2 linked regions of the Neodiprion lecontei genome follow. The protein of the gene in region 1 interacts with the protein of each later gene in a pairwise test. Links are inferred from orthologs where the notes say so. Each region holds a gene or a part of one and is shown in the gene's direction. Other genes may lie near its edges.

The links.
Region 2: the proteins of developmentally-regulated GTP-binding protein 2 (region 1) and RWD domain-containing protein 1 interact in binary tests that used the Homo sapiens proteins (3 or more experiments, as listed by UniProt). The link is inferred for Neodiprion lecontei from reciprocal best matches to the Homo sapiens genes DRG2 and RWDD1.

The regions. Positions count from the first base shown.
Region 1 is NC_060263.1:2,933,458-2,938,005, reverse strand, and holds developmentally-regulated GTP-binding protein 2, read left to right. Parts: upstream 1-2,106; 5' UTR 2,107-2,237; coding exon 2,238-2,301; intron 2,302-2,427; coding exon 2,428-2,735; intron 2,736-2,810; coding exon 2,811-3,241; intron 3,242-3,333; coding exon 3,334-3,535; intron 3,536-3,617; coding exon 3,618-3,704; 3' UTR 3,705-3,901; downstream 3,902-4,548. UniProt on the Homo sapiens protein: Catalyzes the conversion of GTP to GDP through hydrolysis of the gamma-phosphate bond in GTP. When hydroxylated at C-3 of 'Lys-21' by JMJD7, may bind to RNA and play a role in translation.
Region 2 is NC_060262.1:25,213,826-25,218,682, reverse strand, and holds RWD domain-containing protein 1, read left to right. Parts: upstream 1-1,560; 5' UTR 1,561-1,703; coding exon 1,704-1,773; intron 1,774-2,444; coding exon 2,445-2,794; intron 2,795-2,933; coding exon 2,934-3,120; intron 3,121-3,255; coding exon 3,256-3,371; 3' UTR 3,372-4,035; downstream 4,036-4,857. UniProt on the Homo sapiens protein: Protects DRG2 from proteolytic degradation.

The DNA.
Region 1 (4,548 bases):
CGACGCGTGACGAAAACCAAACTAGACGTTTGTTACTTTCTCAAGTGAACAAAGTCTTGAAATTATAACAATGATTATATTTGTCGTTAATACTTTGTTTGATAACCTATATTGCACAAGCTGTATCTGTACCGAATGTTTATCAGTTCGTTTTATTTATTTATCTATCTTTTTTCTTCATTCGTCGTCGTCTTTCGTTCAAGTCTTATTCACCGTACGATCAGCTTATACGCTGATTAGTTTAGTTGCCCAAACCTCACCGAATTTGCTGATTATCTATAAGACATGCCTTATAATCTTAGACCGGTTGTGATTTATTTTGGTTTCCAATCAAACTCTAAAATACCTTAAATGTTCATCGTTTATCGCACCAAGTTCAGAGAAACAAAAGTGTTTTATAATTTTTCAACATAGAATATAAAACGTAGATTAATAATGGGAATAATAACAAACTCCATGGTCATACACAAGTTATTTATTCAACCATGGTTCATTCTCATGATTACATGAGGAAATTCTGTCTGATTCGCAGTTGGAAAATTCAATTCATCGTTAATCTAATGTAAAATAATTCTAACCGCGTTAAAATAATGTTATCGAAGTGTGCAGCCGTCAAAAAAAAAAAAAAGAGCAAGGGCTTTTTATCGTACGATCTCCTCAATCATGCAACAACGTTTTGAACACCGTGTGCGACATATAACCGATTCGTTGAATTTATTCATTTTCACTCAGCTTTTTTATCCAGCTCCGCGTGATCCGCATTCAGCGATGAATCTTACTTTCAGAGTGATGTTAATTCGACGGCACACGTTTCAATGGCGGTTATACACTTGGAAAGGTTGTGCTCGGCCAGGTGGAAATTCCTTAATGCATGTACGTCGCGGGCTATTAGAGCGTAGATACGCCTGGGCCTTTGTCTCTTTTTGATACGTCCCGACGTTTACGTGTCGTGTATGTAAAATTTTTCATTCGATACTTTTTTTTTTTTTTTTGTGTAAAACTTCGGTGCAGGTATACGAAGAACACGCTGTGTTCGACAAAATCTAATCATTTTAAAACATATCTTATCCCTCAAGTGAGCAGCCCGTTATCGTATAAAATAATTCATGCAGCAGACGAAAGCTTTTTGCGAGAATCTCAGAGTTATTCGAGAAAGAATAATATCTCAATTTTCTACGTCTGTATAACAAATTGTACACAGCATTCGGGAGGGAGAAAACGATGAAAAAAAAAAAGAAACAAGTAAAACTTGAAGCTGAAGGAAATTTTACTTTTGCTTCTTCTTATACTTTATTCATTGGACCACCCGCCGAGATAATGGGATGCATATTTTATATGCAATTTATTCCAGGGATCTTGGATTCGGCGGCAAATTGCGCAACAATTTGATTTGCTGGCGCATGCGTTGGATCGATAATCGACCGGTAAAAGCGGAACCCGACATTCTCCACTTTTGACTCAATCTATGTCACTTCGCTAGTCAATGCCAATCTCTTCGGTCCACCCAGTGTTGCCAAAACTAAAGAAATTTATTTAAATCTAAAGAAATTAGAGTCCGTTCAAACGGTTCAGAGAAAAAAGAAAAGTTGTTTTCTTATTATAAACTATTGTCGCTTAGGCCAGATTCTGAGGAAAATCCGAAGATTTCTGGCGTAATCTCGAGACTGAAAGAAGCGAAATATCTAAATATGACTAAACATCGACAAATTGTGAGGTTCCCAAGAAAATATGCACAAATCAGATAGCGTCTACAATTTTCAAACGCACTTATTTGACATGTTAACGGTCCTAAATATTAAAAATAAAAACATATTATTTACATGAAAGTCCCGAATATCTTTATACTTACAATTCAGATTGTAGCATATAAATTTTTGAGTTGCCTCGCTCGTTAATTATTATTATATATTTATAGGAAAATTGTCCGTCTTGAAAATGAGAAACATGACGGATTATTGTGACGTTATTAAGACATCTGAAGAATTATTGTAGTGCCATTTAAAATAAGAAATCTGAAGAATTATTTTGGCGCCTTTTAAAGAAATATTCGTCCGATAGGTTGGCAACTCTGGATCTACCAAGTTCTTTTCCGATTTCGGGTAGTCTATGCTTGATTTACCGAATTGTAAATTATTCACGTGGGTCAGTGTGATTTTGAGTGAGCGCAGATTGTGTCGCCGTTAGTTGTAAATTCGTCGATGCGAAGACAAGCAGCTCAAAGCTGAGGGTAGCCAATCATGGGTATACTCGAAAAAATATCAGAAATCGAGAAAGAGATCGCTCGGACGCAAAAAAATAAGGGTTTGTTTCGGATTTGAGGTTATGTGTCTGCCAGCCGCAACGCCGTGACCGGCTCGGAGTCTGGGGATTTTGCATTTTTTCTAATTTTCTCAACCGTCGTTTAAAGGTCGATATTTGTTTTTACAGCGACGGAGTATCATCTCGGCCTATTGAAGGCAAAGTTAGCCAAGTATCGCTCCCAGTTATTAGAGCCGTCAAAGAAATCCGAAAAGGGGGAAGGGTTCGATGTACTGAAATCAGGAGATGCGCGGGTCGCCCTGATCGGTTTTCCCTCTGTGGGTAAATCCACTTTACTCAGCACCCTTACTCACACCGAATCCGAAGCTGCGTCCTACGAATTCACAACGCTTACGTGCATACCAGGTGTAATCGAATACAAGGGAGCAAACATACAACTTTTAGATTTGCCCGGTATCATCGAAGGTGCCGCTCAGGTATTGCCTAGAAAAATAAACACCGGCGATGTTTTCGCGTACATCGAGTTTTCTAATTCTTGGTAATTTTCCCAGGGAAAAGGAAGAGGGAGGCAAGTCATAGCCGTCGCAAGAACGGCAGATTTGGTATTGATGATGTTAGATGCGACGAAACAAGATGTACAACGACAATTATTAGAGAAAGAATTGGAGTCTGTTGGTATTAGACTGAACAAACAGAAACCCAATATATATTTTAAAATAAAGAAGGGTGGGGGGCTCTCGTTCAACTCTACTTGCCCACTGACTAAAGTTGACGAGAAGTTGGTCCAAATGATCTTACATGAGTATAAAATATTCAACGCTGAGGTATTGTTTCGCGAAGACTGCACTGCCGATGAGCTCATCGATGTTATCAATGCAAACAGAGTGTACCTACCCTGCCTGTACGTATACAATAAGATTGATCAAATATCTATAGAAGAAGTTGATAGAATCGCGAGGCAAAGCAACAGCGTCGTAGTTAGGTGAGTCAAGCATAGGATACTATCAGTTTTTGGAAAGCGTTCACGCGCAATTCCACCAACAAAACTTCTAAGCTAAAATACTCTTACGACAGTTGCAACATGAAATTGAATTTGGACTATTTGCTGGAGGTTCTGTGGGAATATTTGTCACTCATCAGGGTTTACACTAAAAAACCTGGTCAACCACCAGACTTTGATGATGGATTGATTTTACGGAAGGGAGTCACGGTCGAACATGTCTGTCACAGCATTCACCGGACTCTCGCTGAACAATTCAAATATGCTCTTGTTTGGGTAAGATTACCGGATGTAAAGTATGTTTAAAAATGACGAGATATTTACCACCTCTAAACTTCGATGAACATTCTCTTTGCAGGGCACGAGCACAAAATACTCACCCCAAAGGGTAGGATTGCAACATGTGATGCATGACGAAGATGTGATACAAGTGCTCAAAAAATAAATCAATGCAAATACTTTGGTTTGACTAATATACCATAGTATAATATACTAATGATGATGGTGAACGATATTATCAGCTTCGCAAAGCCTAATGTATATTTTATATATTCTAAAAATAAGCAATCCACAAAATGGATGAAATAACGTCACTTTTTGGGGTATAAATATCCAAGCTATAAAAAATTATGCGACACATTATTTCAATGTCAATTCTTTCTTCCTCAAGTATCCACGAATTTAGTTGACTTATTACATCGTTTTTAATAAAATTGTACTGTTAATGGATTGATAAGAAACATTCTCGTCTTTTAACGTTGTTCGAATGAAAATACTTGCTTCATTATTTGGAAAAAAAAATGGCATCCCCACACCCATTATGCCAGTCTCCGTATTATTTATGAACTTATCCGACCATGGCGAACCTTTTTTTGTCCACTGCAGGTCTTGTCGTTTGTCCTTTGCACCAAAGTTACCGACCCCAATCAAATTTCTTCAGATCTAATGTATTTTGATGTCCGCCAAAGCAAAAAGAAAAAGAATTCTTTTCAAGAATTGTGGTAATTTATATCGAAATCTAAAGAAACTTTATCACTTTTAAAGAATTTTTCTTCCTGATTCCAAATTCCTACATTTTTAATTTCCTATTCCAATTTTTTCTAATTGTTTGGAATTTGTTGTAATATCGGTATTTAACTTAAGAAAACAAGGCGGGTGAGTCGATATATAACTGAATAAAACTCGAGATATGCTTCGGTGATTTGGAGTTTCAATTTGAGTCACTTCGGGTTCATCTGTGCTATTTTTCCAAATTTTCGCTCATAGTTTCAATTTTTCCGAATTTTGTT
Region 2 (4,857 bases), on another chromosome or scaffold:
TTCACTTGCAACTAGCTCAAACAGCGTTTCGATTCTATGCCTACGAAAATTCAAGATCGAGAGAGCAAATGAACAGTTGTTGGAATAATCACGAATATCAATGTCATGGAATACATCGAGCGCGTGTCGAATAGAATTCTATTTCAAAATGAATAATTGTTCTATTTTCATATTACAGCCATATTATTGTAGATCATCTAGTTAGTCTCCTGGAAAATTATAAAATTTATAGCATGCATCACGTATTAATCGTAAATGGATCAATGATTAATATCGTACATGGACCGCATATACATATGTACTTTTGGTTCTTTACATTATTATGATATCTGATCCATTATTATTCATAATCTTCGTATACACTGTTCTCTCGGGTACTTATACTTTAATTAAATCACTGTTTTGCTACGAATTTTGTCAGAAATTTATTCTCATTATTAATTTCTTGTATCGCCGACAAGTCGGTAAGTACACACGGGTTAAGTATAGGTGAATGCAGCCAGTATCGCGTCGAAATCGGTAACTCTCTGATGTTCTGCAATAAGTTCTCAACTCTACCGTTGGAACATTTCAAGAGCGCAAATGCACGACGATTTTCGTTTGTTACCTCATAATTTTAAAAGTGCTCAGCAAAGCAAAAAAATTAAATAAAATATTCATTTATTTATTTATTTATTTATTTATTCCCAAGAAAATATAAATATACATAATATACAGAAGTAATATACAAAAGTACATTTATAGTCCTATAGAAGTAACTTAAAGTTTCCTGTGCATAGGCTCGGGAAGAGTGAAAAGGCATATAATCTAACAATGCCAGTTCAACAATTTTAAATTTGATTTTAAAATTAAGAAAAATCATACAGTTTGTACATTTAATTGTGATTAAAATTAAATGATTTAATTTAAATTTTACAAATAAAGTGAAAGACGGATATATTCTACTAAAGCGTTGATAGATGCTCAGGGTGGCCGATTAACCATTTTTTCAATTTATATGTAATTGACTTGGTCAATATAGGTAAATTCTTTATTTCGTTTGGTAACAGATTGAAAAATTTAATTGCAGTATGTAAAGGACTGCTGCAGAACTTAGTTTTAGTGACTTTGGGTCCTTGTATTAACTTATATCTACAAAAACATTTTTGAAACAATTGGAACTAAATACGACGTACTTTAAAATTTTTCCGAAATATTTGTAGCTGAATGTTGACGTTGTAAAAATCTGAAAAAATAAATTCAGCGTCCTAGAGATGCTAAATATATTGGAAAAGTGAATAAATTTTAATGAATAATCAAACGATAGTTAGTTGTAAAAATGATGTAAATCAATTATTTACAATGATTGCGTGCTGCAAAATGAATGAGACATATTATATTATATGAAATACAAAAAGGAATCTGTGTTGCAATGAGAAATGTAGTCTTTCCGTAATGTGAAATAAACCGTGGAAAAATATTTACTAGCAGCGCCCGCTGGTGGACACTGTAATTTTTATGCTTCAAATTTCCCTTACGGTTTTCTTACTCCAACAGCTCCACTCTCCAGTGCTCTAATAGCCGTGATAATATCCCATCTATTATCCCCTATCTTCTGTATCGTCCGGTAATTGTCACTATGGGTTTAGGTTAAAATCTGGTTTTCATATAAAAAATATTTACGCTCTGGCTGATTTGTGAGAGGGAGACAACGGGATTAAAAAATGGATTATAGAGACGAGCAGGTTAATGAAATTGAGGCGCTCGATTCCATATACTGTGGGGATATGGAAAGTAAGTTCATACCTCGACGTTAAAAACATAACCTATACTCGTCACTTTTTGCGGCATTATTAACATAACCTATTATTTATTGAATCACAGAATAATCACTGTACGCACGATAATTAGCAGACACAAAATAACAAACAATGGATATGTACTTAGATTTATCAAATTAATATAGCTTCAAGTTTGTCGTATACAAGGGCTCCTGGAACGGCATGTAAACACGAAATTTTTTTCGCATACACTGACAAATAAATTTATGGCACACTATTTATATCTTATCTATAAAATTTAATGATGATGAAGTTAAATTTCCAACTCTGCCGGCTGTAATATTGATTAAACAGTTATTTATCAATGCGCTTTGACGATGTGAGAATTTGTGAAATAATTGAAACTCATTCATTATTTTTTTTTAATCACTTCATATGTATAATGTTGAAGATTTTCAATTAGAGAAATATATTCTGTAATAGTAAACGTTTCATATTAAATAATTTGAATTATTTATTCTCACTCGTACGATTTCACCGGAGCCATGCCGGAGCTGCACAAGTTTTCTGATCGACTCTCGCGTGACTGTTGTAACTCGACTGAAATTACTGTACGGTGTCGTGACATTTGGTATGAATAACATTTGAAATGTGAAGTAAAACATGCTTTTGGTTTGGTTTCAGTTATAGCAAAGCAGCCCTTCTACAAATTTTCAATCCCAATTAAATCTGAAGAACATGAACTAGAGACAAGCAATGGTTTAGCTTGTCGACTAGAATTTACTTACACAGCTAAATATCCTGATGAGCCACTAGTCGTAGATATTGAGGATCAAGAAAACTTTGAGGATGGTGACGAACAGATACTCAAAGAACACTTAGCGGATCAAATGAATGAAAATTTAGGCATGGTTATGGTTTTCACCCTCGTTAGTGCTGCGCAAGAATGGCTCAATGTTCAGTGGGACAAAATAAAAATGCATAGGGAAGAAAGTGCTGCCTTGAAACTGAAAGAGGAAGAAGAGGCAGAAAGAGTAAAAACAATAATTTATTATATATTAGTATCATACATTTTAAATCTAAGTTGTTTCACCATGCTGCACTTCTGTTGTTCCGATTTCTACAATTGCATATCAACAGCGCTGGTCAACTTTAATGTTTTTAAAATTGCAGAAAAGATTTGAGGGAACAAGAGTTACTGTCGAGACGTTTCTAACCTGGAAAGAGAAGTTCGATGATGAAATGGGAATTACAAAACGACGTGAAATTGCGGAGCGTGAAGGGAAAAAGTTGACTGGAAGAGAGCTCTTTATGACAGATAAAACATTAGATCAATCTGATTTGAAGTTCTTGGAAGACGGTATGTATTTTCAGTCCTCATTCACTAATTTTCAAATTATCTGCTATCGCGAACTTGAAGTATTCATAATATGAGCTTCGTCATATTTATATTTGTCGATCCGATCGACCTCCATAGTTTATTTTTCTTTTAAAGGAGATGCAGTCAAGGTGGATGAAAGTCTGTTTCAAAACTTGGAAGATCTTGATTTGGACGATGATCCGGATGATCTGGATTTTGACCCAAATAATTTGTCTGATGACAGTGCCTAACAATGTTGATGGTAGCGAGTGAGCTATTCTGACTGACTGACAGAGGCTCCTGGAGTCATCAGCAACGAGGAATTTAAACTCGTAATGAACGAATGCAAGAAGCATGGACCACCAAATGCATTCATATGCCTAATACCGTTGAAGTGTTTTGTAACAATTGTAAATAGCTGGATATTTTATGTTAACAAAGCTTAGTTTACCGGTACTTGAGATACTTTGTATTGTACTCTTATTTCACCTATTTATCATAATAGTTTGAAGTAAGAACGTAATAACAATGTAGCAATCTCGTAAAATTCATATATGCTTTGTTACCCAGAAAAAAACCGTCCTAGAGTTCAAATCTGTTATTGAACAAGAGCTTCATCGACAGATCGTGTTAGACTGATCAAATTAAAGTTTTCAGAATTTTTTTAACATCAGATACGTGTGTGAATTTCGTTTCATTTAAATAAACGTTCCCGTTTTCTCTCCCACAGTGTATCGGAATCCAACTTGTGGGTGTGCAGGGTAATTGACCCATAACAGTAAGAAAATTTGATGAGTATCAAACCACAAACAACTCCGTGTCATCTATTGAACTTTTATTTTGTAACATTGGATCGGTAGGGAGCAAATATAAGTAATAAAAAAATATTTATATAAATAAATACGATAATGTCCAGCATTTTATTTTTTTTTTTTCCTTGCGACAGATTAACAGTGAAAAAATCGGAATTTCTCCCTGGTAATTTTTTCTTCTCATCCAATGGAAGCTTAATACTTCATACATGGATATATTACATATTCGAAAGAATTTAATGAGGTCGCAACGAAACGGAAGGCCTAGCGTTTAGAAATGCCGCAGGTTTGTTGACAGTTGGCTTTATATCGAGGTAGCGGCACTCGCCGTATCAGAAGTGATAATAGTTCGCATTTTGTTCGCCAGACGGCCGAAAGCCGTTCCGACAATCAATACAGGCGCAACTCCGTAGAATCACCGGAGAGCTTGCTTTACAGCGAGCTTTCAGTTTGACACTCGGCCGCGTGTAAAGCTCACGAACTTTGCGAAATATCAGTGAAAAGTGTCGAGCGAGGCGGAGGCGATACGCGGCGGCAAAATGGCGGCCACAGTGCGAAACAAATGACAGCGCGGATTTTGTGAGCTTGCAAGCTTTAACAAGGACCCGCGAAATTGCCCGATTGTTAAATTTCTACGAGAATATTTAGTAGTTTCGAACAACCGAAAATAATAAAAAATACATTTTTTAATTTCTCAATTCCCGAAGGGCGCGTACCTAAAGTTATATCGTAAGAACAATTTCATTAGATAACTTGAGAATAAAATAATACATTTTATCAGCGGTAAACGAACGGCTTCATTAAGCTTTTAAGAAACGAACTATTGTAAGTGATATCAAACTTAGCGAACTTGGATCCTTTAACAATGAACCCGGCACTCGCGGAGGTGCGTTACAAGCTCTCATTCAGGGAGATGATTCTCTCT